Linked DNA regions of Schizosaccharomyces pombe. The protein of the gene in region 3 interacts with the protein of the main gene of each other region in a pairwise test. Each region holds a gene or a part of one and is shown on either strand. Other genes may lie near its edges. The genes, in order: SPOM_SPCC1827.05C, cbc1, nse1 and pgk1.

Region 1 (7,192 bases), 1.2 Mb from region 3:
ATATATTTTTAATATCCTCGCCCAAATGTTTTTAAGTCTGTGGAGGATTCATCCCGGCTTGAAATATCGGGTTTTGTATACTATTTTTGCTGGCGTAAATTCACTTTTTTCTTATACGTGGGATATTTTGATGGATTGGAACCTTTTGGTTCGAAAGGATGGTCGTTGGCAATTCCGTGAGCATCGAATTCTAAAACAGTTGTGGCCGTATATTATAGCTATGATCTTAAATTTTATCGTTAGAAGCTCTTTTATATTCTATTGCATATTTCCCAACCACATTCAGCACTCTTCAGGGATTAGTTTTTTTGTGACCCTTGCTGAGATCATGCGGCGTTGTATGTGGAACATCCTTCGTGTGGAGCACGAAGAAATCTATAATAGGGTAAGTTCGCTGGTTTGTGTTTACTTTTATTTATTTTTATTTGATTCAAATCGTCGCATACTAATTTCATTATAGGAAAATTTGCGGGCCGCTAGAGAACTTAAGCCTTTGGATTTTGTTAAGCCACATAGTGATGTCTTCGTTTCTCATCAAATATCTTCTGATAAGAATTATACAGATGATGAAGATTCGATGGATGATCAAACAGATGTGGATGAAGCTCAGTTTTCTTAGATAGAACGTGAAAGTACAAGTTATTTTTTTCTTTAGTTGTATTTTTTTTATTATTCTTATCGGTATTGGGTGTTTGCTCCGATGATATTAATGCTGTTTTATTGTGTTTTTATGCATTAAAAGTATTCCTCATTTGGAGTATGGTATCGCTGTTTTCTTCTGACAAATGCGAAGATATTTCTCAGAAGTTTCTACGAACCTCATTTTAATTTTATTATGACATATGGATATGAGAAGGGGGACTTTAGTGTTTACGAACAAATGTGATGAATGAAGCTTAATGATTTAATGAGTAAAATTATAATAATGATATTTATCTTTCACAAAATGAATGAATCCTTTTAAGTGTGCTGTAAATTTTAAGCGATGATCAAAGAAGTCAGTTAATTTACTCAGTCAGGAACAGAATGTGCGGTGAAATAGATTGATTCAATGCGTGTCTGGAGACAGAGAATCGGATTGATCATTAATGTCTTGATGTATCAACCAATGACCGGAATACTTAAAGTCCTTTAACTAATCTCAAATACATCTCATAGCTACTCGTAAAAAAATTGTTGCAATAATAATAGCCAAGTATACTTACGAGCTAATTTTTCATTATCAAAACAGAAAAGACCGGTCATATAAAAGTATTATCCATTGTTTATTAAATTGTCTTTCATCATTCTCAGTACTAAATCTAAATTGCAAAAGAATCAATGAGACTACATCCATCCTTTCTATATTTGCTTGACACTACTAAATTTACTTCCAAGTTATAATGGACGTAAAATGACTACATCTGATCAAGTCCCAGATTAACTGTTCCTTTACATTACTCTTATAGATTAGATAAAAGAAAGCTTATTTTAGAACTTGTATTTTACAACTAATTGTTTACTTCATCTGCCTTACTTTGGTACAAAACGGATGCTGCTTGTTTTGGCAATTTGTTTAAAGAATTCACTATTTTACGGTACGCGGAAATACTTTAGACTTCACTATCTCGATTAGAAAAGATCTGATGCGATACGATATAAGATATTTTTTTTTAAATTGCTTGTCAATGAAGGAATTTACCAAGAACACGTAACCTTCGTTTTCTTGATTAAAAACAATGGCTATAAAAAAAGTTGGAATCCTCGGTGCAACAGGTATGTTTAAATTTAGAATGGTAATGTTCTGTCAAAACTGCAAACGATTGCTCTATGTACATTAAAAAATGCATAAAGTTAAAGGATTGACTGTTACAAAATAATTTGTGTTTACTTTTTAGGTTCCTTGTTTAATTGGTCTACATTTTAATTGTACACTTTTTGAATTAAATTGCCTGGAAAGACTCACATTTTATCATTTTAATTCCATGTCTTTAGTACTATAAGTTTTTGATGAACATTAAATTTTCAGTTCCGTGTCACTGACTAGTGTTTTTGGATACACATGACTAACCATAAATAGGCACCGTTGGACAGCGTTTCATTACCCTCCTTTCCGATCATCCTGAGTTTAAGATCGCTGTTCTTGGCGCTTCTGCTCGTTCTGCGGGAAAACCATATGCAGTTGCTACTAAATGGAAACAATCTATTGCAATGCCTAAAGAGATTTCCCAAATGAGTGTAAAGGCTTGTGATCCCAAGGAGTTTTCGGAATGCGATATTGTGTTTAGCGGCTTAGATGCTGACTTTGCTGGCGAAATTGAAAAAAGTTTTCGTGATGCTAATTTAGTCATCGTTTCGAATGCTAAAAACTATCGTCGTGAGCCTACCGTGCCACTTGTTGTCCCCACCGTCAACACAGATCATTTGGACGTTATCAAGTACCAGCGTCAAGAAAACAAACTGGATCGTGGATGCATTATCACTAACTCTAACTGTTCTACTGCTGCTGTTGTAGTACCTTTGAAAGCTCTACAAGATGCTTTTGGTCCTATCGCTCAAACAAATGTAGTTAGTATGCAAGCTATTTCTGGTGCTGGATACCCTGGTGTTTCCAGTCTTGACATTTTGGATAACATCGTTCCATTTATTGGCGGTGAAGAAGAAAAAATTGAATGGGAGACACGTAAAATCTTGGGCTCTGTCAATAGCACAATTTCTGGATATGAGTTGACTGATAACGTTGTTTCTGCTCAGTGCAATCGTGTTCCTGTTATTGATGGCCATTTGATGTGTATTTCTGTGAAGTTTGCCAAGACCTCTCCTACTCCTGATCAAGTTCGCGAAGTATTGGCAAACTATGTTTCTGAACCTCAAAAGTTAGGCTGCTACAGTGCCCCTAAACAAGCCATTTATGTTTTCGATGATTCTACTCCTGACCGCCCTCAACCTAGACTCGATCGTAACAATGAAAATGGTTATGCAGTATCAGTTGGTCGTATCAGATCTGATTCCATCTTTGATATTAAATTTGTCTCCCTCGTCCATAACACAGTTTTGGGTGCTGCTGGTGCTGGTATTTTGAATGCTGAAGTTGCGGTGAAGAAGGGACTTATGTAAACAACGAATTTCCTGTTCTTGTTATAACTCTTCTCTCTCAAAATTTGCCACGGATTTTTCGATACCTTAAAAGTTGGAATTAGGTTTTGAATAAAGAAAAACTTTGTTAATATATTTCATTTTTGCTGTTATTTTACCTTGCCAGTGATATAATTAGAGGACTGCCTCTATTAATCAAGTTTCTTGTGCTTGCGAACCAAAACGGAAGCCTTCAAAAGATTTGTATTCCTTGTAATTGAATAATACTATCGATAATTCTAATATTTGAAGTAAGTCATTTTCTACTTTTTCCCATTTTAAATGAATAACGAATTTTAACACCAATTTGTAAAAATTTAGCGTAGATTAAAAAATTTTTTGAATATTTAACGCAAATTCAAATTCTACCATGTCTAGCTTAAGGAAATGTATAACAACTTGTAATTTAGGCATCTGGCCGTTTTTGACACTGGAAAAATTCAGTTCAATACCTATACTTTTATAAAACATTATGTCGAAGGCAAAGAGCCCTATAAAGTCTTCGAAAAGTAAGTGATAGGAATAATATCACTATTGTATGGTTTTTAACTCAATTGATTTTAGAATCGGTGAATCAACCGAAATCGGTTCTTCGTGAGAAGAAAGTCAAAGATGCTGAAAAAGCCGAGCATATATCATTACAAGGTCATGTAGATAACTCTGATGAAGAAGGACAAGATAAAGAGTTTTTTCCTGGTTTCGGTTCTTCAGATGATGATGAAGAAGACTCTCCAAATGCGCTAGTTAATACCTCAAGGCAAATTATGGATTTGGGCGAAGATGCTGAGAAAACCATAAAGAAAAAGGTTTCTGAAAATAAGAATCTTCAAAAGAAAAAAGGTGTTTTGTATGTTGGCCGACTTCCTCATGGATTTTATGAGAAACAGATGCGTATGTATTTTTCTCAATTTGGTCCTGTGCTACGTCTTCGCATGTCTCGCAATAGAAAGGTATGGTAACATTTATTATCTACAGCGGACTATTTTAGTTCTTCTTTTTATTTTCGACTGCTAACTTTTTGCATTAGACAGGAAGTAGTAAGCATTATGCTTTCATCGAGTTTGAATCGTTAGACGTTGCCAATGTCGTTGCTGAGACAATGCATAATTATCTTTTATATGGAAAGCTTTTACAATGTAAGGTTATTCCTGAAGACCAGGTTCATGAAAACATGTTTAAAGGCGCCGACGTTCCTTTTAAACGCATCCCTCATGCCACAATAGCGCGTCTTCAGCATGAAAAACCATTAAGCAAGGAGAAAGCGGATAAGTTAATTACTCGCCATAATCGGAAGCTTAAACTCAAAAAGCGCAAGCTCAAAGAATTGGGGATTACTTTGGAATCGGATGTATCTCATCCCAAGGCGGCTAGTCCAGTTGCTTCGAAAAAATCTAGCAAAAAGAAGAACAAAAAGGTTTTGGCTGCTCACAAATAAATAAATACGGGGTTTTAGAGTAATAACAATAATATTTGGAATATCTTATTATTATGCATAATAGAATTGTGAATAACGTATACTAAGATTAATATTTTTACAATATTCCTTTTGTTGTCTTTTTCTAGTAAAGTATTTTTTAATTTAAAATAACTATGCTTCTCATTTTGTTTGCATTCTTTTCATGGCAGCTGCAGCCCTTTTTTCACGTTCAATTCGCATTCTCATTTCTGGACTTAATGATTGCAATTCGTCAACTTTTCGAACATTATTAATTCCTAATGAATGACCTTCGCCGTGCAGTTTATCATAATCCCTTTTCGATTGTTCTTCAATTTTCTGCATCGCTTCCTTCCGTCTAAGTTCTTCTTGCCTCTCTTTATCCCTTCTTTGATTTTCTAATTTGGTCTTTGCCTTTTGGCGTTGTTTCTGAATTTGTTCTCTAGACTGAGGAGCCCCAACTTTAGCTGCTTCCCAGTCGAAAAATGACTCTCCCAACTCATGCCTTGCAATTAGAAACTCATCTTTAACCTCTTTGTTTCCAGTACTAATCTCAAAAGGTGTCTTTCCGTTCCCATTTAGCATTGCTGGATCAGCACCATTACGGAGAAGTTTAGCGACTAATTTAGCATTTTTTTGGGTAACTGCGTAATGCAACGGTGTAGATGTGTGCAAATGAACATTTTTAGGATAAAATTGAAAATTTATAGACAAATCATTAGAGCGCAAATATTCCAAAAATGCTTCAATATTAGACGCTTTCAAATTGGAGATAATTACTTCGGTATATTTAGCAAGCTTTTTCTTTTTCCTCTCTTCCTCTTGTAATCTGCTTTGTCTAATTTCCTTTTCAATTTCGGCTTGTCTCTTTCGTTCTTCTTCTTGAGCTTTTATCGAAATTGAATCAACGTGACTAATTTTCGGAGTAACCAACTCTTTGTAACAACGAAGTAATTCTGAATGTGTGGCTCGTTTAGTAGTAAATGGAAATACGCGGAGTTTTGGATCTTTTGGAGAAATAAGAGCACCTGGTTGAGAGAAGAAAATTGAACGATTAGATGAACCGATTGCACGTACAAAGATTAAATCGCATGTTTCTAATAATTTTCCCCAGTCTTTAAAAACTTGCTGAATATCTTTAATAAGAGCTTGTTCGTTATAACGTCGCAAACCACTACCTGCCGAGTGAATGTTCCCTTTAGTATTGTCAGCAGCCCCTTGAGAACCACCTTGCTTCCTTCTAGTTGTATATCTGTGAATAGTTTTCTGTGCTAGTACTTTGGGTACATGGGGATCACGAGGATTAAACTCATTAGAAGCAATCATAGCAGCAAAATGACCGCCTCCAACCATAAACATAGCTAGTTGAAGTGGCTTTTGTCGGTTATGATTTTGTTGTTGAACAAGTAAATCTTTAGTGATATGGTTATTACCGGAAAACATGTGTTTATATACACCAATATAGGTTGGCACTTCGGCAGAAGCATTACTCAATTGAAACCACGTTAATGGTGAGTTTGTTCGCTGATTGTTGTTTTCGTCAGCGGAGTCAACTTTTCCTATGTTCAAGGATTGTTTAAAAGCCTTCTCTATTTGGAAATTATCTTCTTCGGATTCTGAGTTTGTCTCGCTTTCACTGCCAGACAGTGATTCTGGTAAATCTTCAATTATGCTTTCAAATTCGTCTTGAGAAACCGGAGGCAATTTTGTAATTTTTCGCTTCGTATTGAACCTATGCCAGTCAGATTTAATATGACTTTTTCTTTCGTCCAGAGTATGCAGATTGTCAATCTGGCAATTGACACATGATGATATATTTTTCTGAGTGGAATCAACAATATCGCCTTGGTTTGACAAATTAGCACTATCAGTTTTTTCCTCAACTGAGTATTCCTCTCGTAGTTCTAGTTTTGCTAAGATATCCTCAGGAAGGGAAAAAATATTGTGCTTCGAAATATCACCCATGTTTCGAAGAAGACAAGTAATTAGCAAGATCTAAAAATAATGTAAGCATTACAAAATATGCAATAATTTTCAGTAGAATTTCAATCTAGCAATTAGCGTACTTATACTCAAAAACGAACTTTAATAAGGATTAAGTAATTTGACCACAAGATGCAGGTAGTTTGCTTTTAATTTACAATTTTTTCTTGAAATTAAAAGAAGAAAAAGGTTATTTTCATGTAAATTAAGACTTTAAAGCCTTTTGGCCACAAAAATGAATTAAAAAAAAATAAGGCTGTAGACAATATAGGTAAGAGGATTAATTAGGTAAGAGCAAACAGTCAATCAAAAATCAAATTTATGTAATTTTTTTACTTAGTGGTATATACTTGCGTTTATTATTTAACTAATATAGTCCAAAATTTAATATTTGAGAAAAAGCTGTCGTTAACAGTGAAAAATCTATGAATTTTAAATTGAATGTAAATATAAAATCGAAAATAACATTTGTATAATGTTGGTGATTGTAATAATATTTATTTAAATTAATAGTGCAAAAATTATGCTACTGCTTTAGCTAATTCAAAACTATATTAGATGCAGTCGCAATTTGTATATATTCCTTTTCGTATTAAAAAATAAATACCAAAAATTAATTCGTCACTTGAAATTTGACTGAGCATGATTGTTTAATATTAT
Region 2 (8,963 bases), on a different chromosome or scaffold from region 3:
AAACTCGCAACCAACTCACGCAACATCTTGACCCTTAACCGAGAAAATCCTATACTTCCAAGCATATTTGCCATAGCCCCGTATATGCGACAACGTTCACGAATTGAAAGAGAGTTAAGATGCTGTCCTTGGGCTCTCATAATCCATTGACAAATAGTTGCTTTATTTGGTACATACGTTGTAGCTTTTTTAACAGGTCTTATGGGGGCTTGAGCAATAATATGATCCAAAGCGTTGTCGTTAAATCCTTTACAACTATAAACAACTGTGAGTAAATGAGCATACCGTAGGATACTCTCGGAAAAACAGAGGCCGGGGACAGCATCATTAGGTTGAAGAGTGGATTTTTGATATAATTGATCAACTACGTTGCGCATTTCTGTGATAAAGTTTAATAGTGCATCAAATTTGAGTGGTCCAAAGGCATTCAATCTATCATTATAAGAAGGGAACATGGATAATATATTAGGAGGAATCTGGACGTCCACATGCAAATGAGCCATTATAACCAGACAAACAGTAAATAACTCCAACGAAAGTCCTTGCCAAAGAAAGTCTCCAGTTGCTTTAGAAAGCGCTATGGCTGTTGAGAAATGCTTCAACGCATTGGGAACTCTGCCGGCCAGCAAGTATAGCTGGCCAAATTGGTTCTCAATACGCCCCTTTGAGAGACTTTTGGATCGTTCCGTTACACTATTCACAGATCTTGATGTGATCGAGGGAGTTCTCGTCAAAGTAGGACGAGAAGATGAGCCTAAGGAGTGAATCGACGCATTAGAATTTTTCCTTTGCAAGGGAGCCAAATGTGGCATGTCAGTAATTGGAGAAAGGATCACGGAACGCGCGTGTATAGAAAACTCGAGCGAACTAAATCCTTCTAACAACTCAGCAGTGATATCGCATAAAATAGACCGCATTACGGAGTTTATTGAAAAATCAGACCTTGGTCCTATTATGATATTGGGAGCATTAAATATATTCTCTTTGTCTTCTGGACAATTAAATACGATGCATTTTGCAACTAACGCATGAGGTATCCTTCTCCGCCAAACATCCAAGGTAGAACATAATTGCTCAACTTCTTGTTCCTCTGACCCATCTACAATACCAATAAGAACGAAAACGCGCCGAAAATATTCAAATTCTTCTAGTAGAGCTTGTTGATCATCAAGGCTGGTTAGGAAATTGTACACCAATCTGCCCAACGGAAAAGCCAAAGGATTGAAAGAACTCGCTATTAAGATTAGTCAATAATCATAAAAATAAGAAACATACATTTTCTAGTAGCAGTAGCTACAGGGACATCACTCAACTGAATATGACTTACTCTGCGGAGTAATTGTAGGTAGGACGAGAAACTTTTTCTTCTAACACGACCAAAAGGAAGGACTAATGATTGAACTCTGGAAGGAGCAACAAACGAAAAAAAATCAAATTCCATAGCATCTCCAGCAATGTAATGTTTTGGAGCACGTACTGAGAACAAAGTGCTTGAATACCATTTAACGGATTACATCCATACCATCACTAATTTATTTTGCATATTTCTGTTGATTGTCGATCATAAGTCGGTAAAATAAACTTTTCAAGATGATATCGCTTAACAATTATCATTGTTGTGAAATGTCTAATATTTGTTATGCTTTGGAAATACCATTCTGCATATACAGCTGTACAGCTGTTTTCAGTAGATTATTTGGAATCAAAATATAATTACAACTCAATGAACTGGTTGCAGTAATTTTAATTAAGGCATGTGTAAATAATATGTAAACTATCTGAAGAATGTGAATCTGGCATTTCAAAAATTTAAAAATCCGTTTGTTTATGCGAACTTGACTTTATAGATTAGGAGGAGTATTTTGTAATTTTTTTCCTTTTTTACAATCGTTTGGTATTCATGAAAGAATCGTATATCTCGCCATAGCAATTTATGAAAGGCATTCTGAATGGCAAAAACTGTTGAATATTGAACCGTTTTGTTATTATTATTATTGCTATTTATTTTATTCTCAAAATGGTAAAAAAATAAGAGAGATTGAAGGAAATACTGGTGAGGATAACGTAATGTTTAGAAGCGTTACAGCAAGATGATTGTGTTTCAAGTCAACTTTCCAACTTCAAATATGAGCGCTACAAGTAGAGAAGGAAATAAGACAAAGATAGGAATAGTAGGAGGTAATTTTGGAGAACAACAGTTTCATAAATGATGAGTGAGCATGCTGACGATGATTTTTAGGTGGCATTATTGGAATTTGTACGGCGTTTTACTTAACAGAAGAACAAGAATACAAAAAAGGAGAATTGGACATATTTATATTTGAATCAAAAGAAATAGCAGGAGGTAGCTCCGGCATTGATTCTGCAATCTTGACAAAACTGTGCCAGAATGAAATCATACAGCCACTTTCAACTCTCGCTTTGAAGCTTTATGAAGGATTGGATAAAAAATTTGATGGGAAGAAAAACTGGGAATATAGGACTGCCAATTCTTGGTTTTGTAAGATGAAATGGGACAATACCAATGTTGCCAAAGTTCCCGATACTTTGCAATGGCTTCAACGAGAGCGCATGCAAAAATGTAAGCTCATAAGTGCTACCAAAAAAAAATAATAACTTTATTGTATAAGTCATATAGAGACTAACCATTTAGGTTCTAGTATCGGTTCCGGCAACGATTTTGCAATGATCAATCCAAAATTGTTTTGTCAATTTATGGCAAAAGAAATAGAAAAACGAGGAGTAAAGTTTATATTTGGAAGTGTGAAAGAGGTTAGTAAACACCATATTACATACGTTCCAAAACAAGAAGCTGAAGATACAATAATAAAAGCACAGGTGCATAAAACGCTGGTGAGTGCTGGGCCTTGGACTGGTTATCTATTACCATTTACTGGTATTGCAGGTCTATGCATTCCCATAATTCACCTATCGGTAGGAAATTTTCCCGTTGGCGACAGCATTGTTGTGTGTTGTTTAAATACCATGGGTAATCTAAACATTTGCAAAACAACCGAAATTTTCAGTAAAAACCGGGAGCAGCTTATTTTTATGGGAACTCCAAAATTCCATTTGCTGCCAAAAGATAGTAATCGATGTTTTTTTAATCCTTTTGAAATTATCGAATTGAAAGAAATGACCGATTTGGTGCTCTCGGAGAATACGAAGAGTAACTACTTAGACGCATCTTTTAAGTTCCTTCCTACCAGTAGAATAACAGGTATCCCGATAATATCAACAACCAAGTCTGGTGTATTTGTTGCAGCGGGTCACGCCAACTGGGGGATAACTCAAGCTCCTGCCACGGGTTTATGTATGGCAGAAATGCTCCTTGGCAAGGAAAAAACAAGCATAAACACAGATCCTTTTCACTTAAATCTCGGTGAATGAGGATTTCAAATTATATCCTCTAATTTTTGTTTTAATTGTTTGTCAAAAAAAACGAAGGACTCATTCACTGAAAGGTGAAAATATAGAAGCAGAATGGATGCTTATTCCTTTACCGAAATAGAATATTACAGTGTTGTAAAATTTTCTAATCATATTTATTAAGGTTTTCGTTTTTATCGCATTGGAAAATCGATTTTCTTTTTTTTTGTTTTACAATTTCCATCTCGACTTAGTATACCATTCGTTACCTCTAAGTTGATTGTTACTTGAGAACACTTGCTCGTGTTTTTACAATTCTGCTATACGCCAACAACAGTAAGACACTAACATTCCTCACAAAATGTCTTCTTATCGGGGATCAACTCGACCCAGAAAGAGGACGAGAGAGGGAGAGAATTATGGATTTCGTCCCCATAGAGGAAACTCTCAAGAGCTACTTGCAGCGCGTATAAAAAAGGATATTACCTTTTTGGCGGATCCTCGAGGAAATTCAGTAGCTGCTGATGACATTAATTATGTTGCTATGTCTCTTAGTCGTGAAGCTAATGATCCTGAAACCATTTCAACTATCTTAGATTGCATTCAGACAACGTAAGTGATAATTTATACTGTCCCTTCAGAAAACTAATTTAATCCTTAGTGCATTTATCATTCCAGTCAAAATACCTCATTTGGCTACATTAATTATAAGAGCCTCATTAAGGGTTCCTTTAATCTTAGAAAAAGCAGCTGCGTATTTTTGTTTACAGTATTTTACGAATTTAAACTCCTTTCTTTATTACGAGGCTAAAGTCGATCTACGAATGCTCATTTGCATGTCATTTGCACTTCAACCAGGTACCCTTAAGCCACTATTTTCATTACTGGCTGACGCTATCTCAAAAGAAACCAAACCCAGTGTCTGGGGAGATAATTTCCTGCGCATAATTTTGATAAACCTTCCATATTTCATCGCAGCTAACAACGATCTCGGTAAAAAGGATTTTGCTAATGAGATACTGGATCAATGTGAGATTTACGTTCGTCATAGGAAATCTTCGATAACTCTAAGTAATCCCCTTTCAATACATGACAATCTTTCAGAGGAGGAATTGGACTTACTCTATAAACAACTAATTCTATCTCGGGAAAACGACTTTACTTTTCCTTATATATCTCAACCCTGGAAGTTTTTTGAATCTGATTTCGTTCATATTGTTCCGGTTAGCCCAAGTATTCCTGAATGGACGTTTCAGCCCACTCCTCAGCAAAATGAGCTACCTTCCTTCAAGAGATTTTTTGAGCTTTTTAATAACTTTGAAATTCGCACGACTCCTGACGCTTCCGACGTTGCAGCCAGCATATTTCGTGATATAAGTGTGGATGTTATAAACCATTTGGAATTTAACCGAGTTGAGGCTGCTCAAGTTCTTACAGATTTAGATGTTTATTTTACCTACAAAACTTTTGCTCTTCGTGGTACTCCAGTAAATGAATTACCAAATTTAGATCCATCGGAATCACGTTGGAAAGCAGAAGATATCATAGTTGAAGCTGTTTTGGGTGAGCTTCTTGGTTCACAGAATACTACGTATAAACCTGTCTATTATCATTCGCTTTTGATTGAATGCTGCCGTATCGCTCCTAAAATTTTGGCTCCAACTTTTGGAAGGGTCATTCGGCTAATGTATACCATGTCTTCTGATTTACCTTTACAAACACTTGATCGATTTATTGACTGGTTTTCACATCACCTTAGTAATTTCAACTTTCACTGGAAGTGGAATGAGTGGATTCCTGACGTTGAGCTGGACGATCTTCATCCAAAAAAAGTTTTTATGCGGGAAACTATTACTAGGGAACTTATTTTAAGCTATTACACAAGAATTTCTGACTCACTCCCTGAAGAGTTACGTTGTTTGCTTGGCGAACAACCGTCGGGTCCCAATTTCGTGTACGAAAATGAGACTCATCCGCTATATCAACAGTCAAGTCAAATTATCGAAGCATTGAGATTACATAAACCGTTAGAAGAACTTGACATTATTTTGCAGAGCGAGGAGATTCAAAACTCCGAGACATCTGCTGTCCGATTAGTTATGTCTTGTGCTTATAGCTTGGGTTCGAGATCGTTTTCGCACGCATTGAACGTGTTCGAGAAACATCTTAATACATTGAAACATTTTTCTCGAAAATCATTAGATTCCGAAATAGAGGTTGTTGATGAACTTTTTTCATTTTGGAAATTACAACCGTTCAACGCAGTTATGTGGCTAGATAAAATGCTGAACTACTCTATAATTAGTATTACCTCTATTATTGAGTGGTTGATCAAGCAAGACGTGACTATATGGTCTCGTAGTTATACGTGGTCACTTGTTAACACCACTTTTAATAAATTAGCAGCTAGATTGCGGCGTTCGGTTTCTAACAAAGAAGACTCTTCGCTAATCAATGAAGCGAATGAGGAAAAGGAAATTGTCACGAATTTACTATTGTCAGCTTTGCGCGCCCTTATTTCCGAAAATGCTGAAAATATATGGGTATCTCATTGGCTTAACCTTATGTTAAAATATGTGGAATCAAATTTCCTCTCTGTTAAAAAGGACACGATAGAAGAAGCAAACGAGCCTGTTCAAGAAAATACCAGTGAGGAACAGGAAGACACAAAAATGCAACCCGTCGACGCAGTAGATGAGCAGCCATCAGAAAATAATCAAACAGCAGCTGATGCAACTAATGAGGAAAAATAAAGAAAGTAGTCTATAACAAAAATGAAGAAAGTGTTGTTTTGATATCAAAAAGATTAAACTGAAGAACTCGACTGGTAATCACGACGTTGTCAATCTGCTACAACGTTTGAACGTGGATATAGCTTATATTAAATATTTAATTATAACGTCCCATTTTCATAAGCACTTGTAGGACGCTGCTGCACTTCACAGTTAAGTTACTAGAAACGAAGATTTCAATTTTATAGGTAACAGGGTTATCAGATCTATCAGAGGTAACGGATATCTAAAGATAAGATATTTTACGATCGACTTGTCGGTTCTAGTTTTGCGTAGTGTCATACTATGTGAGCGAATGGATAAGCGAAATGTTCACTCACATCTCCGATATCAGAAGTGACTAAATCTTTTCTCAGTTTAACGAAAGGATTGCTAAAATGTAACAAAATCACTACTGCCATCAGTAACTTACACTTAACCAACCACTTTGTGCTATTGTAAGAAGTAGTGAGGAACAGAGGCAGTTTGGTGGATAGAACTAGGATTTAAGGGACATTTGCACAGCTACTCCTTCTCAACTTAGCTTCGTCGAATATTTCATTTACTTTAAAGGATAAAAAAACTGACACAATATGTTGGAAGTACGTGCTGCCGTAAAGGCACCTTTCAAGTTGGCTGCCGCAGGCCGTGGTTTCATGAATATGCGTATGGCTTCAAGCAAATCTTTTCAAAAGATCACTGTTAAAAACCCAGTCGTTGAAATGGATGGTGATGAGATGACGAGAGTGATTTGGAAGATCATTCGTGAAAAGTTGGTTCTCCCATATATGGACATTAAATTGGATTATTATGACCTTGGAATCGAAGCTCGCGATAAGACAAACGACCAAATTACTGTGGATGCAGCCAAAGCTATCCTCAAAAATGATGTCGGTATCAAATGTGCCACCATTACTCCTGATGAGGCTCGTGTGAAAGAGTATAACCTCAAGAAGATGTGGAAGTCTCCCAATGGTACCATTCGTAACATTTTGAATGGTACAGTATTTCGGGAGCCCATTTTAATCAAAAACATTCCCAAGTATATTCCTGGATGGACGAACCCTATTTGTATCGGGCGTCATGCCTTTGGAGATCAATACAAGTCAACGGACTTGGTAGCTTCAGGCCCCGGTAAGTTGGAACTTTCATTCACCCCTAAAGGTAATCCTTCTGCTAAAGAAACATACAATGTTTACGAGTTCAACGGTAGTGGTGTAGCTATGTCTATGTACAACACTGACGACTCTATTCGTGGATTTGCTCACAGTTCTTTCCAAATGGCTTTGCAAAAGAAAATGCCACTTTATCTTTCCACTAAGAATACAATTTTGAAAAAATATGATGGTAGATTTAAGGATACATTCCAAGAAGTATATGAATCTGATTACAAGCAAAAGTTTGAGGAACTAGGTTTATGGTATCAACATCGTCTAATTGATGACATGGTAGCCCAAGCTATTAAGTCCAATGGTGGTTTTGTTTGGGCATGCAAAAATTACGATGGTGATGTTATGTCGGATGTGGTTGCCCAAGCTTATGGATCCTTAGGCCTAATGACTTCTGTCCTCATTCATCCCAACGGTCGCACTTTTGAGAGTGAGGCTGCTCATGGTACTGTACAGCGTCACTACATGCAATACTTGAAAGGTAAGAAGACTTCAACCAACAGTATTGCCTCTATCTTTGCCTGGACTCGTGGTCTTGCCCATCGTGGTCGTTTAGATGGCAACGAACGTTTAGTTAAGTTTGCCAACGCCCTCGAGCATGCTTGTGTTCGATGCGTTGAGAAGGGTATTATGACAAAGGATCTTTACCTTCTCAGCAAGTCTCCCAATGGTTATGTTGATACATTCGAGTTTTTGGATGCCGTCAAGTCCGAGCTCGATTCGGAATTGGTCAACATTGCCTAATTTTAGTGTTAGACCTGTTGATTAGTGAGTCTTTGAAGTTTAAGTTCTGGATTATTCAATCATGTTTTTACTAGGATACTTTTTGTTAAAACAATTATTTTGAAGTGTGTGCATTTATATTATTTTACAATTAACAGTGGAGTGTAGGAAGTCATTTCTATTAATCATGAAATTTTGTAAATTTTTTATGCATATTCAGACCATGACACTATTATCTAATTTTTTTCAATTTTTTCCCCTTAAACGTAAAGGAAAAAGCTGAATGATTATTCATTTATTCATTGAAATCTTTCGGATTTCTTGCCGTTTATTGACTACAAATGTATCTTGATTCTTTAAAGCTTTGCTTCAAACCCACTTAAACATATTTATCTAGCAATTGATTGAGCCATAACAATTTAGGTAAAGGTCTAATATTAAAATTCAACAACTGAGCTAATAAACTAAACAATTGATGGACGTAAACCCCAACTACATTAAATGTATATCACTATGGAAATGCTTTCTATTATGTTCGAATACAATGAAGTTGTAACAAATATCATTTTAAAAACTGCTACTACTTAATTACTTGTAATTTCTGTTAAACTGATAAATAAAGTAAGCCTTTGTTCTTAGCTCCAAATGTTTTACGCAGCCAAATCTTACGCGCTGCAGTGTGGCTGTGAGCGTTTGGAAAAAACTTAACGTAGCATTCATAATGCTAGTTAAGACACTATAATGTGTTGGATGCCAGAGGAAGCATGCTAGCCATGCAATACACACTAACCAAAACAAAACACTGGCCATCATCAGTCTTTTGCTAGCACAAACGATGGTGTCAGACATGCTTGGCGGAAATAAGAGATGGATTTTATTTGGACTCTTATCGTTTCTATTGAACTGCGTACTTGTCTCGTGTAGTGTTGAA
Region 3 (8,369 bases):
GCTTTATTATTCGTTTGTAATGCTTTCGTTGATATATATGAGTCGTATACGACTTATTATGATTTACTTTCAAAAAACCTGAATCTGCGTAGTTGTAAAAGAAAAAGGTTGGATTATTACATATAATTAGAGATTTGTGTAAAAATGCATAGCATTTTATTGTACTATGGTTAAAACATATTATTCGTTACCAACTTTGAAATTGAATTGTAGTATACTTTTAGTTGGTGGTGGAATAAAACTACAGAGGAAAGAGCGACATAAATTTCCATTTAATTAAAATCATTCAACTCTAAAGAGAGGGAAATCAAGTTTGGATACAAGACATGTCATGCCATCATGAAGGATTAGACTGAAAGACGGCCAGTCGTAAAAAAAATAATATATTTTTTCGCAAAACGTAGTCAATTAAAAGCAAGCTCGCGAATTAGGCTAGCCCTTACTTGGACCTAGCTTTGGTAATGCAATATCCCAGGGACCGTGAATTTCACTAAGATATATATGTGAGAATTTAGAAAGAAATAATAAAATAAAATAATTACATACTTTTTAAATCTTTGAAGCTTAATAAACCAAATGGGACATATAAACGAAATGAAAAATATTAATGAAAGAAAGACAAACGCAATAACAACAGATGCAACAGCATTCAAAGCAATATATGCACTTATGATCAATACGAGGGTCATAAGCATGTCAGCGTAAAAAGAGAAAACCTGTAATTGGTTAAATAAAAGAAAAGGCCAATAAATTGCTTCTTACATGAATGTATTTGCGAAAAATGGGGAATAGTGCAAACCAATGAACGGCAAAAAGAATAAAAAAAAATACATTAATTGACTTTTCCAGTCGTGAAGCTAGAACAACAGATGCACTCAGCGCCGCATTTGTTGATAAAGAATTGTGTAGCCTAAAAAGAAAAATAATTAGAAATGGAATTAATTACGATGAAGTTTCCAAAGACGTACCTGACATGAGGTCTGATAGTTTCCGTCGTATATTCATGAAAAAATACGTTCGCAAGGAAAAGCCAAACAGCAATAGCCCAAACTGAGTCAGGAGAGGTAGATTTTGTTAATGACATTAGAATTGGCGATAGACCAGCAAGCGTAAGAACAATTAATATACAAGATTTAACGATCCCCATGTAATTAGGAAAAGTTCTATTGTTACAAGGCTTTCTCAACACAAAATCCCACAAAATGAATGCCGCGACCGCAGAAACATTTGACACGAAACCAACAAGCGCACAAGATAACTGGTTCCTATAGATCGAAACGAAAACCGAGGCAAATATAACTACGCTTGATAGATGCTGGGAGACAGGTAAACTATCGGCCACTAAAGACCAAAAGTCAGTGACTTGAATGTTAACATTTCGTTGTAAGCCATTCAAAAAAGATTCATCAATGAAGTTATCTGGGTAATCTTGTTTCCTCCATAAAACCTTTTTCCAAGGTTTCTTTAGTTCAACAACTTCTTTTACAGAGGCTTTCCTGAACGTGTTCAAGACGAGTGATTTCGCGACCATCTTTTTGGGCGCTGGAGCAGCACATACTTCATCCATTCAGTTTTAAAGTAATTTATAAATCAACTAAATAACTACATTCGTCCTAAACTCTCATACAAATTAAGCTGAATTTGCTTCCAATACCGTATTTTCAACAGTTCTTAGAGTAGTTGGATTTGGTTAACATCGACTGACTATAATATAAGTTGACTAGTACTGTATGTTTGGGTCCGCAAACAAATAAACCACACTTTCCTAATTTAATTCATATATATCTACTTTAAAAAGTACATTCAGCATCGTTAAGAGTTTTTATTCCCAAGAAAATGATTTAACTGCATGACTCTGAATATAGGGTTGTTCATGAAATCTGCAATCGCGCATACTCGCAATTGGACTTTAATCTATCAATTGACAATTCAAGTGATAAAATTTACGACTGAACTCTTATAAACCCGAATTCAAGCATTCTAGTAAGCTAATAAGTCAACATTAATTATAAACAATTATTCTAAATTCAACGAAAAGTAAACTTTCACGAACAGGGTTTACATTTTACGAAAAATATGTGTATTCTTTCTAACTTTCCCTTATTCAAAAACTGCAAAAGGTTATCTCTTAGTTTCCTATTCTTGATGTACGTTTAACTCGTAGTGTTATAAAATACTTGAAAGCTAAATGTGCGTGGTACAATAAGATGATCAGTAGAAAAATATGCTGTTTTTTTTTTTTTAAAATAAATATAATAAATGTTCTTGTTCCATTGCTTGCATCTGTATGTTTTCTAACCATGTTTATGTGCGTAAACAATAGAAAGAAAAGGATAAAGAAAGAAATTTCACAAAAATATATAGCATAAATTTTTTTTAAAAAAAAGAAAGGAATATCTGCTGCTTTTCACAAATTGTTCTAGCTGCGCGTATTTAATGGTAATCAAATTTTGTTTCACACTGAATACTGATTTCATCTACTACCAACATATACCATTACACTGTATGTTTCATGATTGTCAATATATGAACGGACTATTTTAAGACAAAAAATCGAAACGACCATAAAAATTTGATAAAAAATTGAAAGGAAGCTAGGCGTTTTGTGCGTGTTTGTTTAAATTTGCATTGGTCAATTAACGCGTCAATTAGTAATCAAAATAGTAGAAATACAAAAAAAGGAATAAACGGTATGGAGAAAGAGAGACAAGATGGATTATCTGACAAGCATAAATTCATTCTTCAATATATAATGTGTCGCACAGCTGGTGTTGATAATGAACAAGTTCGTGAACTTGTTCAAGAGCAGTATGGAGAAACGGCAACTGTAGAAGATGTAATAAATGAATTGAACAATTCTTTGCACAATTTCGATTTTAAGATAAAACGAGTACAGGATCAACTGGATGGAAGATTAACGCTGCACTTTCAGAATTTATCTGGAGACCCAGTATCCCAAATGGCTACTCCTTACCCTCCTGTTCAGATAGAACTTATGAGAAAGATAATCGAATGGATCATGAAGTGTGATGATTACCAATATTCATTAACGACTCTGCAAATCCAAAAATTATCGAGAAAAGAAATGGGATTGGCACCTAGTGTTATTGAGTCTCACTTACATACGTTTGAACGTGATGGATGGCTAAGACAGAGAGAGGGTATTTGGACATTTACGAATCATGCGTTAGCTGAATTGGATGCTTATTTACACAACGAATACGAGAGCAATTTATACGAATGCAACGCTTGTCGCGAAATTGTAATTGCTGTAAGATACATATCACAAATGCAAACTTACTAACTGAATACCTTATAGGGATATGTATGTGATTGTGGCTACTGCTTGCATGTTTACTGTTGCAAGCATTTAGCTCATGTTAATTGTATAAATTGTAACACGCCATGGGCAAATGCGACCGTTATAGGACGCTGGTAATTTTTTCACTACCTACTGGTGTTCGCTTTACTTGTTTATACATTTGGGCTACTTGGGAAAGGATATAGAAAACTTATAAAATTAACAGTTTTTAATGTTGGAAAAAAGGGTTCGTAATTAAACTATGTGGAGAACACTCGCATTTTAAACTGAAATCGTTAAAATTCAGGTGAAGGGTTAGACTCATAAAACACGAACTCAAAATCTTCTTTACAAAAAAATAAAAGAGAAATGACATCGATCATCAAACGCATAATCACTGTCATTTTCTTTAAAAATGTCCGCATTTACATCACATTTAAATCTGAGTGCAATCGTCCTTAAAATTAGAGCTGTTAAAAAAGCCATCTTGTACCAGTTTATCGTAATTTGCTGCAAGAACAATAACAAAAGATGTTTTTGCGTCCAACAGCTTTTTTTTTAGTATGCTTAATAGGCAGTGGCTGACGAAGAAAAAATTACCCATTAATTAATTTATTCCTTGATGATAGCCAACAACTCGTGATCACGGTACAACGAATACTCCTCTTCGCCCACCTTGATGTTGCTTCCACCATAAGCAGGCAGCAAGACACGATCACCAACGGCTACGCTGGGTTGAGCCAGTTTACCTTCCTTGTTATAACCGCCCTTTCCGACGGAAATAACACGACCTTCGGATAACTTTTCAACGCTCTTCTCAGGTAGAAAGATACCAGAAGCGGTTTTGGTGTCGGCCTTGATACGTTGAACCAGAATACGATCCAAAAGAGGCACGATTGACTTGGCGGATTTCAGTTTGGTAGCCATGTGAAAGAATGCAAAATGATTTTAAAAAAAAGCCTAACAAATACAAAAACTGTGGTTAATGCCAATATATTTCCGTCAAAACTTGTTCGTTTTGGGCAAGTGCTCAGTAGCTTCAGTTGAAGCTGTGATCCTCCTTATTAATCTTTTGCAGATCATCTGGAAAGTTCTACCAAAAGTTTATTTTGCGTTAATACTCAAGGTTCCGGTAAAACACAATGCGAGATTCGGCTCCAATATGCTATATTTTAATAATGTTAACTACGCAGTTTGGTATCTGTTTTAACGACACGCAGAACTGCGGTGAGTTTTCCTTGTGATTTAATATATAGTGTAGTATAGCTGACATTGCCCTCCCCAAGATTTTCTATGTAAATCTGAGGATAAGTCATATGTTCTCAAATATTTAGATTATTGTTTTTAATATAATCATTGACAATTGCTTTGTCCGCTTGTAGCGCTGTAGCTAATGTAGTCCATCCTGACATAATAGTACTCGGATTTAGATTCGAAATGTACTTAACGTTTAAATAGAGTACTTGTTCTCTATTTTTATGTTCTAGGATATGGAGAATTGTTCCTATGTCGGATTCATCAATGGTAGCGTAATTGAGTTCTGAATTATGTCGATACTTTTCTAGGTGAGAAACATGAAAAGTAGATGGAAACATGTGCTTGATTGAATCTGGAAGATCCAATTCATAGTTGTTTGGGCCCGACTTCTGTTACACATAGAACGGTCCTGCAAAACTGACACGTATCATACATGTGATGCAAATCACAGTAAGTGTAGTTATGTCGTGAATTACTAACATTTACTTTACAATTAAAAGATAGAGTATATAAAAATGGTATTGCTGTCAAATAATTTAGTTGGAAAGCCTTCATTCAAGTTGGATATTTGTCGATAACGATGGTTTCCGTACCACCGTAAGAAATTTCTGGTTTTCTACGCACTGAACGCAGTTAAGGTAATTTTTGCTCAAAAAAGTAAACTGATGCAAAAATGGTTGAGATTTTGTGGAGGTTAAGCGACAATTTGATTATCGCATACTTAAAAAGGTGAAGGTCGAAAATTGAAGAATTCGAAATAAAGCTATCAGTTATTGACATACTCTAATTCCCCCGTATTGATGATACTGGTTCAAGGAGAAAAGTCTAGCTGAAATATGCTAATCTAAAACTCATGTGATTTGGCTTCATAAAGCATCATCATTAAGATAACTAAGTCATAGTTTGCTACGCCATAACACATCAACGAGCATGTCTCAATGAAAGGGTGTACAGTCAAGGTGATTGTGATAAAATACCAGAAGCAATCAAAGTGCGTCTTTGGTGTTTTGAATGAGAGAAGTTAGTTTTCAAAGAACTGAAATTACATTTATTTATTTAATTTTTGAAAAAGTGGAATTTTCTGTTTTTGAGAGTTACGACGGAAAGCATAGAAAGAGTACTCTTTTTTTTATATTTGTTTATATCAACAAAATCTGATTGAATTTTCATATTGAAATGTGTTATCATTTCTTTGAATGTGCTTTTCACAACCAGAGTCAGCCGGTCAATCTTGCAACTTTGTATTAACTATACTGATAAAAATTAGTTTACCATGATTAAATTTCGATTCTTCATTCTAAACATACACGCTGCTTCATCTTTATCGTCGCATGCTGTGTTTGCGCATTTGTTATTGATAAAACCCTGTCTGCAATCATGACTCAAGGTCCCTTTAGTCTACTATTTGTAAAGAAACCCCCGGAATCACTCATTTGCATTTTACAACATTTTTTGGTTTCCGTTTTTAGTTAGATACGGACAACCTGTTCGCTTCTTACAGCACAGTTCATTGGACTTCTTCTAATTGCAAATTCATACCATCTTCAACCGAAAAGTAGAAAGACTTTTCTAGTTTCCTCCGATTATTTACCCTTACTCGCCGATAATTCTACATTTTCTTTATCATTTTGCTGGATAGCATCTCAAATACCGAAGCTCCGTTTACTCCTTTGAAGTAACTTGTTTGCTTAATCTGACCACGTTGTACAGTAGATAAAATGCGACAAGGGTTGTGGAGTATCTAGCGATCGGGTAAAATATATAGGCGGGCAAAGGTTCTGGATAACTAAGTTCATTGAAAAGTTGGCCGTTATCCATAATACGTTTGGTACTTGATTATCATTTGAATGGCAAAGATGCGTCAAGCTTATAGATACTGAGTATGAGAAAAGCACTATTTAAAGAGATAGGTTCCTAACCCGTAGGAAGTATATCTGAAATTGTGCTTTGTTAATTCAACAATTTTTGATATTGGTTTGACTTTTGTCAGTATTCCTTGGCCTCTTTGACTAAAATCCATTGCTTGCAACGTTGCATGTGCTATTGGTTTATATATACTTCATCATCCATACATTCAACTGAGCATTTTAATTTACTTTCATTCAATCCAACAGTTTCCTATTCACAATGACGATCGATTGGAGACAAATTGCTGCCAAATACTGTGCCCATCGAGATGGTAGTATTCCTGAACCTTTCAAAATTAAAACACTACCTAAGGATACCGTTTTGAATGTTACCAAAATTCCAAGTGAGTGTGGTCTCCTTACACCGAAGGAGATCGAACTCACTGAAAAATATGATGCGACAGCATTGGCCGAAATGATTAAGGATAGAAAAGTCACGAGTGTGGAGTTAGTCACTGCATTTTGTAAGCGTGCAGCCATTGCTCAACAACTTGTCAATTGTGTGAATGAACTCTTCTACGAGGAAGCTTTAGCTAGGGCCGCTGAGCTTGACGAGTACTATGCAAAGACGGGATCTTTGGTCGGCCCCCTTCATGGAGTGCCAGTTTCGGTGAAAGAGCATATTTCTATCAAAAATCACACTGCTACAGCTAGTTTTCTAGCGAAAGCCAACATTATTGCTGAGAAAGATAGTGATCTAGTTGCCACCGTTCGCAAAGCTGGTGCTGTTTTCTATTGCAGAACCCCCCAGCCTCAAGCTATCATGCATTTGGAAACATCTAGTAACCTTACGGGTGTAACCGTCAACCCTTTCAATCGAAAGCTCACACCAGGTGGTTCCTCTGGCGGAGAAGGTGCTTTGTTAGGCATTAAGGCGTCGGTGCTTGGCATAGGTAGTGATATTGGAGGGTCGATTAGGTCTCCTGCCGCTAACAATGGGCTTTTTGGCCTTCGCCCTAGTACCTTGAGATTATCACGCAAGGGTTGCCAAGGCGCTGTTAGTGGTCAAGAGACCATTCTCGGCGTAGTGGGTCCACTTGGTCGCAGCGTTCGTGACATGAATCTCTTTATGAAAGCTTGTATCGATAGCCAACCTTGGCTTGATGATGCATCGTTGTTACCAATGCCCTGGCGTTCAGTTGCCCCTCCTAAAACGCTCAAAGTTGGTATAATGCGTAGTGACAATGTTGTGAATCCTCAACCGCCTGTTGCTCGAGCCATGCAAATGGCTATTGATCAACTTTCTAAAAATCCCGATTTTGATTTAGTAGATGTAGAACCTTTGGATCACAAATATTCATGGGATCTTATTAGCGAAATGTACTGGCTTGATGGCGGAAAGGTTTATTACGATTTGTTTAACAAGGTGGGAGAACCAATTTTGCCTTTAACTGAATGGATTATGCATCAACCCAATGTTAAACCTCATGACATTACGGCCGTATGGAAATTGACTGCTGCTAGAGATGAATATCGCAATCGTTATTTGAAGCACCTTCAAGCATATGGAGTTGACGTTTTACTGACTCCAGTGGGACCTAGCCCTGCTCCTAAATTAGGGGAGGCAAAATATTGGACATACACATCTGTTTGGAACTTGCTTGATTTGCCTGCCGTAGTATTTCCTGTGACCACTGTTGATCCTAAGCTCGATGTTAAAGATGAGTCATACATACCGATGAATGAACAAGACGCAGCAAATTATGAAACATATTCCCCTGAAGACTATTTGGATGCTCCCGTAAGTTTGCAACTTGTTGGCAAACGTTGGCAAGATGAAGAATTACTGGCTGCCCTTGATAAAATTGTCAGCATGCTCTAGTAGGGTTATTGGCTTTTATATTTTTTGGAGTTTAATGATAATGGATATGTTCGTTTTATTTTTTTTTTATATACAAACTTTT
Region 4 (8,026 bases), on a different chromosome or scaffold from region 3:
TACCAAAAGGTTATTCGTAATACCATTAAGAGCATCGGTTATGATGACTCTGAGAAGGGTTTCGATTACAAGACTTGCAACGTCCTCGTCGCCATCGAGCAACAATCTCCTGATATCGCTCAAGGTCTTCACTATGAGAAGGCTTTGGAAGAGCTCGGTGCTGGTGACCAGGGTATTATGTTTGGCTATGCAACTGATGAGACCCCCGAGAAGTTACCTTTGACCATTCTCCTTGCTCACAAACTCAATGCTGCCATGTCTGTCGCTCGTCGTGATGGATCTCTTCCATGGTTGCGTCCTGATACCAAGACTCAAGTCACTATTGAATATGAAGAGGAAAACGGTGCTGTCATCCCCCGTCGTGTAGATACCATCGTCGTCTCTGCTCAACACGCTGATAGCATCTCTACTGAAGACTTGCGTTCTGAAATTTTGGAGAAGATCATTAAGCCTACTGTCCCTGCTCATTTGTTAGATGAGAAGACTGTTTACCACATCCAACCTTCTGGTCGTTTCGTTGTTGGTGGTCCTCAAGGTGATGCTGGTCTCACTGGTCGTAAGATTATTGTTGATACCTATGGTGGCTGGGGTGCTCACGGTGGTGGTGCCTTCTCTGGTAAAGACTACTCCAAGGTCGATCGTTCTGCCGCCTATGCTGCTCGTTGGATTGCCAAATCTTTGGTTGCTGCTGGTTTGGCTCGCCGCTGCCTTGTCCAACTCTCCTATGCTATTGGTGTTGCTGAGCCCCTTTCTATTTTTGTCAATACTTACGGCACTTCTTCCAAGACATCTGCTGAGCTTGTTGAAATTATCCGCAAGAACTTTGACCTTCGTCCTGGTGTTTTGGTCAAAAGCCTTAAGCTTCAAACTCCTTTCTATCTTTCCACCGCTTCTTACGGTCACTTCACTGATCAATCCAAGCCTTGGGAACAACCTAAGGAGCTTAAGTTTTAGACAGATAGCTTAGTGCTATCATTAGCTTTTCTCGTTTGTTACGTTAAATACGATTAGAACATGTAACGAATTCTCAGTTGATGGCTTTATGGATACATGGTTTTCTTTAAAGATGAAAAGATTTTAGAGTTGTCTTTATTTATTCTATGTTTGCTTCTTTGTTCTTCAATTGTGAAAGATATATGGTTTTATATGTTAAGTCCTGGTTCAACGGATATGTATTTTTTTTTGGACTGGGTAGGCACAAATTCAACCTTTGTGTTTATGACTGCATCTCGAAGCGGAAAATACACTAAGCCAAAAATTTTTTTGCATACCGACATGTTAATGTTTCTTTTACCGATAGGCTTAGTGTTATTTGATGCTTTTCACGATAGTTATTATTTGCTGACTTTCAACTAGTTGGCCACTTTCGTTTAAATTGAGTTAATTATATGTTAATGGATTTGGTTCAAGACATAGTGTTTTAATCGTATAAGAACGAGTACTCATCTTCACTGTAGCTAATTTAGCTCGCTCACTTGTAACAAGGTGCATGCACACACAATACAAGCGTTTTGATTTTATTGTAATTTGTAATGAATTGAAAATGTCAAACTTAAAAAGGTAGACAATCATTCAGCTTTCAAGATGATCTGTGATAGTAAATGTCATTGGATTAAAACACATTGCTTGCTTACATTATTGTATTTATGGAATAAGCGATGGATTCTCAGCGATCCTAAAAGTACTTAGAATTATATTGGTCTTTTTTTTTGTAGTATAAATATTCAAAAATTCTTCACTAGATGTCTACGGCCATACCTAGGCGAAAACACCAGTTCCCGTCCGATCACTGCAGTTAAGCGTCTGAGGGCCTCGTTAGTACTATGGTTGGAGACAACATGGGAATCCGGGGTTTTGTAGGTTCCTTCTTTATTATTGCTGTTTGGTTTTTACCTTCTCTTTTGGAGCATATTTTGAGTACTGAATTGTGAATCTCAAATTCTATAGATGTTGCTACTCGTTGATTAAGCAATGCTAGAGCAGACTTTGAACTCTCAAATCAAATAATTAAGAAGTTTATGAAAGAAGGCTCTTGTCTTTGTCATGGGTATCGTCAAGCAAAATTCGATGTCTACATCAGATATTGTATAGGAAAATTATCAGATGAATTAGGAAGCATTGTCAACATGCAGAAAGAAATACGGTGTACCATAATACAACATTTGGAATATTTACTTCAATCTGCTAAACTACTTTAGAAGTCAACCACATAATATGGTATTGTCAGCAATACTGCACTACGATATGACATACTACGTTGCGTATCACTATATGTCACATGTTCAACATCAGATCATAGATATCCGTTGATAACAACTATTAGAAAGATTATAAATAGAGCTACAACTGAACCTCGTTCCTCAATTCAGTTATGAGCTATATCGGTGACCGATACTAACAGACTTCTTATAACAATAAATATACATTGTTAGTTAACATACCGCATACCGCTACATTGTAGATCGCAAGTAAAAACTCACCGCAGTTCTATATATCGTTAAAACAGATATCAAACTGCGTAGCTAACCAGTATATATTATAACAATACATGAACCTACGGTAAGTTTTCCTTGTGATCTATATATTGCAATATGTAAATAACACAGTAGCAACTGAATAAAAGGTATTCTAATATTTGAAATGTATGCTTTATCTTTACTGAAAAAGCCTTAGCTAAAGTGGAGAACGAGATTCAGTTCATCTCAGTTTACACTATGAATTGCTAGTATTGTAACAGCTAGTTATCTTATCATATTATATAATAAAATCTCTAGCATGAAAACTTATCACGTTAAGTTGGTAGAGTAAATAAAACATGGGACATATAGTGATACGCACGAAATGAATACACAGAGTATGTTGTATTGTTGATGTCGAAAAGTGTGTCTTCATGCTGTGAAAAGAAGCTGTTATCAAAAAAAAACGTTTGTCCAAAACGTAAATCCAGTAAAATGTTTTTGCTACATTAAAAGACACTTTAGGAATGAAGCATGATAGTAAATTAGAATTTCATCTGAAACTAGCAGATATTGATCCTACACTTTCCAATACTGCACTTAACAATTTACGAGCAAAATCTCTCAGTATTTGCTATTCAGCTATTGCTTGATGTCTGTTGCAAATGTTGAATTGACTTTTAAAAATTTTTTGAATCTACTTGACGAGCAAAAATCGCTAATTTAATTAACGTTACAAAAATTAATTTAAGCTGCTATTGAATGTACTCCAGCTAGCTGCATCCTTCTCTGCAACACTTCTCGTCGTATCGATAACAGTGCCGATGCAAACCTTAGCTTTGCAACCTTCACATTCGTTATAGAGGCAAACAAAACAGCACTAGGTGGAAAAGGAGCAGCGAACTCCCAACCAACCCACGTTCGCATTATCACTCCTTACTTATGTTTTACGAATTTAGTCGCGCAATTTGTTAAAGATACGTTTACAAGCTTTAAACTTCTCGCTTATGGCGACTCTATTTTTCAAAGGCTCAATGACGAAAATATTCGGCAAACGTCGTGGATGCATGTCGTTGTCCAATCCCGTTTTCCTTTCCGACCCTCTGTTACGAAGCGATAGTAGATAGCAGGTTTTTCCGAAAAATTACATTTACCGTATGCTATCGCAGGCGCACTATGGTCAGAATGTAGGTAGCATACGCCTCACTACCTTTTTAACTAGGTTTTTCCGATTCCCCAAATGATGGATACATTTTTCCGATTCGTCAATAAACGATTACAAAGGTAACGCTAAATGCAACTTGTTTCAAAATGTATATAAAGTTACGTCACAGTGAAATGCTCCTGACAGCCGCTTCTGGCGGAAACGCTACTTGATCGGCGTCTCATGTCACCTGACGACTCTTCCGATTTCGTCGTCGTCCGTCAACACACCATGGTCGGTATGTTTCTCTAGAAACATACATATGATCCACGGCATTCCATCGACTTTCTAAATGCCTCACCCTCCCCGATTAATTGGGGTATAAATATGAGGCCAAGGTGCTAGCGCTAAAGCCTTCTGTAAAGACAAATCCGTCTCAATCCAGAATCAATCAATCACATAACCATGTCTTTGTCTACTAAGCTCGCTATCACCGACGTCGACTTGAAGGGCAAGAACGTCTTGATCCGTGTCGACTTCAACGTCCCTTTGGACGGTGACCGTATCACCAACAATGCCCGTATCGTTGGTGCTCTCCCCACCATCAAGTACGCTCTTGAGCAACAACCCAAGGCTGTCATCTTGATGTCTCACTTGGGCCGTCCCAACGGTGCTCGTGTTGCCAAGTACTCCTTGAAGCCTGTTGCTGCTGAGCTCAGCAAGCTTTTGGGCAAGCCCGTCAAGTTCCTTGACGACTGTGTTGGCCCTGAGGTCGAAAAGGCCTGCAAGGAAGCCAAGGGTGGTGAGGTCATCCTTTTGGAGAACTTGCGTTTCCACATCGAGGAGGAGGGTTCCGCCAAGGTTGACGGTAAGAAGGTTAAGGCTGACGCTTCTGCCGTCGAGGCTTTCCGTAAGTCTTTGACTTCTCTCGGTGACATCTTTGTCAACGATGCTTTCGGTACCGCTCACCGTGCTCACTCCTCTATGGTCGGTGTCGATCTCCCCCGTGTCTCCGGTTTCCTTATGAAGAAGGAGCTCGACTACTTCTCCAAGGCTTTGGAGAACCCCGCTCGTCCCTTCCTTGCCATCTTGGGTGGTGCCAAGGTTGCTGACAAGATCCAACTTATTGACAACCTTCTTGACAAGGTCAACCGCCTTATCATCTGCGGTGGTATGGCTTTCACCTTCTTGAAGGTCCTTAACGGTATGAAGATTGGTGACTCTCTTTTCGATGAGGCTGGTTCCAAGAACGTCGAATCCATGATGGCCAAGGCCAAGAAGAACAACGTCGAGGTCTTCCTCCCCGTTGACTTCGTCACTGCCGACAAGTTCGACAAGGACGCCAAGGTTGGCTCTGCCACCGCCGAGGAGGGTATCCCCGACGGATGGATGGGTTTGGACTGTGGACCCAAGTCCTCTGCTAAGTTTGCCGAGGTTATCACCACCTCCAAGACCATTGTCTGGAATGGTCCCGCTGGTGTCTTTGAGTTTGACAACTTTGCCAAGGGTACCAAGTCTATGCTTGATGCTTGTGTCAAGACCTGTGAAGCTGGTAACGTTGTTATTGTTGGTGGTGGTGACACTGCTACTGTTGCCAAGAAGTACGGTAAGGAGGATGCTCTTTCCCACGTCTCTACCGGTGGTGGTGCTTCTCTTGAACTCTTGGAGGGTAAGGCTCTTCCCGGTGTCGTTGCTCTTTCTTCCAAGTAAGATGCCACTTCCTTCTCAATGCCTTTCTCATCTGACTCTATTCTATAATGGATTTAATTACTGTTAGAGTTCTCTAACATTCGTGAATTTGTTGGCGTTGTCTTTAAGAAAATGGGTTAGGTTGACTGAACAGCGTGTCTGTTTTTTTGACCTGCTCACTAGAAAGACATTTTTAGACGATTCGGCTTGTTTTTCTCAAGTTACAGGTCAGCTTGTTTTGATTGATTTGGTGATGAAATGCATGTTTTTGAATGGATTGGATATTATTCTCATTCCTTTCCTATTTTTACAATACAAATGTTTATGTTATAATAAAGAAATAGAATATCTCGTATTTTTCATGATTAAAAACTTTTCTTGTTGTTTTGAAGCGTCCTACTAGTATTTGGTGTAGTTAATGAATGTTTGTATGAGCGCTATAATTGTGTGGATAGTAGTCAGTTTCTATAAATCTACGTTATTGTGTTTCAGTGTTTGTTTTTTATATGCGTTATTAAGTGAATTACTGTATTTTGTTGAGGTTTTTAATCCATCGTTTTACGCTGTTACGCGTTGCTCTATCCATCGGTTAAAGCTGCTTTAAATTATAATTTGTCGAAACAGGTTTTACTTTTAATGCGGTTAATAATGTCAGCTACACAGTTGTTATTGCTTTTTAGCGACACCTTCCACTGCCGTGGATTTTTTGCTTGCGATCTACAATGAGTAGCACAGTGACATATACTAAATATATATCACTAGATTCAAGCTTGAACCTGTAAACTATAGAAACACAACGAAACTACGAATTTTTGGTAGCAAGTCCATATCGTTTATGTTATGCATCTCCAATCGATAAACTAATGTAAGTAAAATCAGTTTTTTCATGGGATGTTTTCGGCACAGTTCATCTAAGCGAATCTTAAAGAACGATTAAATATAGTGAATTTTAGTGTAGCATATGATAGTGCAATGTATAGAATTTTAAAAAATCTTTTGCGTTGTGCCTTAGTTTTTTGATACAGCAACCATTCCTCCTAACGAGACAACAAAAATTTCTTCTAAAACAAACCAGATTTGCTGTTCTTTGAAGAGGCAGCATCAATAATTACTCATCTTCTTGGTTTTTTTTTTGGAGTAATTACTGATTTGTTGTTTTTACAATAATTTAAGTTTGTAAAAGCTAGAAAAGGAAACGTACAAATTTGATATATATTTGTAATAGAGAAAAGGGAAAGGAAAAAAAAAAATCGAAAAAGCATTTTTAAATAGCCTTCGTTGTACCGTGACTAACTTATTCTCTTAATCCTGAAAAGCTTTTGATTGTTATTTCAACTGAACAAATTTCCAGAGAAGTAATATTTCAATATATTATTTTTTTTTAACTTATTTTTACACTTGCTGGTTAATTCATTTATCTGCAAGTTCTTATTTCTTTACTATTATTCAGCTTTTCTTTGTTAATAGGGAAAGCTGCTTTTGGGGGAACTCACTTTACCCGTTTTCAAAATCGGAATATTTTTGTTTGATTGATTTCTTTCTGTCATAAATATTTCTTCCAAAAAATACAACAAAAATTTAAACTTCAAATATATATAATGGACGCTCAATTCACACTTGAACTTACTCAGCTGCTTTTTCAAAGCATCGCTCCTGATACCACTCAAATTACTGAGGCCACTCGCGCCTTGGAAACAAAGTATTTGAAGGAACCTGGCTCACTACTTTCTCTTTTCCATATTATGGGAACTTGTGAAAATCCCCAAGTTCGTCAGTTAGCTGCCATCGAGGCACGTAAGCTTTGTCATAAATATTGGTCATCCGTTGACGCGGATGTCCAAAATCAGATCCGTAGTAATTTGTTAGATATTACCTTGAAGGAACCTGAAAGTATCGTCCGTCATGCTTTTGGTCGTGTGATTGCTGCCTTGGCTAAGCTTGATTTACCTGAAGGAAAATGGAATGAATTATCGGCTTTCCTGGTCCAAGCCACTATGGATCAAAACGATTCTATTCGTGAAATGGCTGTTTATGTTCTCTACTCAATTGCTGAAACGGTAGATTTAGATAATAAGCTCCTTTTGGATTTTGTCAACTTATTCTCCCAAACAATTACTGACTCTAGTCGAACAGTTCGTGTTACTTCTGTTCAAGGTCTTGGTGCAATTGCAGAGGTTTTGGAGTCTGATGATAAAAAGCTTTTGCACGCTTATCGTGCTACCTTGCCTGGCATGCTTTTGGTTCTTCAAGATGTCGTTCAGGTCGGTGATGTGGATGCCAGCAAGCAAGTTTTTGATGTTTTTAACACTTTTCTTATTGCTTCTGGTGCCATTATTTCCAAAGCACTTGGTAATATTATTGAAATTATTACTGGCATTGCAAATTCCAAGCAGGTCGATGATGAAATTCGCTGTATGGCCCTTTCTTTTATAATTTCGTGCATACGTTTCAAGTCACGTAAGCTGCAAGCTCTTAAACTTGGTAAGCCTCTAGTCCTTACGCTTATGGAAGTTGCTACGGAAGAAACTACTGATGACATAGATGAAGATTGTCCTGCTCGTCTTGCCTTACGTTCCATTGATCTTCTATCTACACATTTGTCGCCTTCACAGGTTTTTTACCCTATGTTTGAAGCTGCTTGTGCATTCTCGCAATCTCCACAGGCTAGCTATCGTAAAGCTGCTTTGCTATCAATTGGCGTTGCCGTTGAAGGCTCATCAGAATCTGTTGCTGGAAA

The links.
Region 1: the proteins of nse1 (region 3) and SPOM_SPCC1827.05C interact in a two-hybrid assay, tested with the Schizosaccharomyces pombe proteins (one study listed by BioGRID).
Region 2: the proteins of nse1 (region 3) and cbc1 interact in a two-hybrid assay, tested with the Schizosaccharomyces pombe proteins (one study listed by BioGRID).
Region 4: the proteins of nse1 (region 3) and pgk1 interact in a two-hybrid assay, tested with the Schizosaccharomyces pombe proteins (one study listed by BioGRID).

Annotation. Positions count from the first base shown.
Region 1 is NC_003421.2:2,382,054-2,389,245, reverse strand, and holds SPOM_SPCC1827.05C (RNA-binding protein NIFK), read left to right. Parts: upstream 1-3,564; 5' UTR 3,565-3,586; coding exon 3,587-3,623; exon of another isoform or gene 3,624-3,678; coding exon 3,679-4,064; exon of another isoform or gene 4,065-4,141; coding exon 4,142-4,549; 3' UTR 4,550-4,607; downstream 4,608-7,192. Other genes in the region: spx2 (SPX/EXS domain-containing protein), read left to right, coding at 1-385, 461-619; hom2 (aspartate semialdehyde dehydrogenase), read left to right, coding at 1,719-1,755, 2,060-3,096; protein Vms1, read right to left, coding at 4,712-6,514.
Region 2 is NC_003424.3:3,224,803-3,233,765, forward strand, and holds cbc1 (nuclear cap-binding complex large subunit), read left to right. Parts: upstream 1-3,707; 5' UTR 3,708-3,730; coding exon 3,731-3,981; exon of another isoform or gene 3,982-4,030; coding exon 4,031-6,122; 3' UTR 6,123-6,596; downstream 6,597-8,963. Other genes in the region: TRAPP complex subunit Trs120, read right to left, coding at 1-1,234, 1,276-1,441; tda3 (FAD-dependent amino acid oxidase), read left to right, coding at 2,127-2,178, 2,240-2,581, 2,654-3,390; isocitrate dehydrogenase Idp1, read left to right, coding at 6,734-8,053; glucosidase I Gls1, read left to right, coding at 8,868-8,963. UniProt on the Schizosaccharomyces pombe protein: Component of the CBC complex, which binds cotranscriptionally to the 5'-cap of pre-mRNAs and is involved in maturation, export and degradation of nuclear mRNAs.
Region 3 is NC_003421.2:1,191,505-1,199,873, forward strand, and holds nse1 (Smc5-6 complex ubiquitin-protein ligase E3 subunit Nse1), read left to right. Parts: upstream 1-2,482; 5' UTR 2,483-2,692; coding exon 2,693-3,271; intron 3,272-3,319; coding exon 3,320-3,439; 3' UTR 3,440-3,913; coding exon of another isoform or gene 3,914-4,228; 3' UTR 4,229-4,519; downstream 4,520-8,369. Other genes in the region: gpi2 (pig-C family GPI synthesis protein), read right to left, coding at 433-490, 547-716, 763-910, 969-1,567; protein Hsp10, read right to left, coding at 3,914-4,228; fah2 (fatty-acid amide hydrolase), read left to right, coding at 6,686-8,287.
Region 4 is NC_003423.3:4,155,456-4,163,481, reverse strand, and holds pgk1 (phosphoglycerate kinase Pgk1), read left to right. Parts: upstream 1-4,020; 5' UTR 4,021-4,065; coding exon 4,066-5,310; 3' UTR 5,311-5,661; downstream 5,662-8,026. Other genes in the region: sam1 (S-adenosylmethionine synthetase), read left to right, coding at 1-954; karyopherin/importin beta family nuclear import signal receptor Kap123, read left to right, coding at 6,888-8,026. UniProt on the Schizosaccharomyces pombe protein: Catalyzes one of the two ATP producing reactions in the glycolytic pathway via the reversible conversion of 1,3-diphosphoglycerate to 3-phosphoglycerate.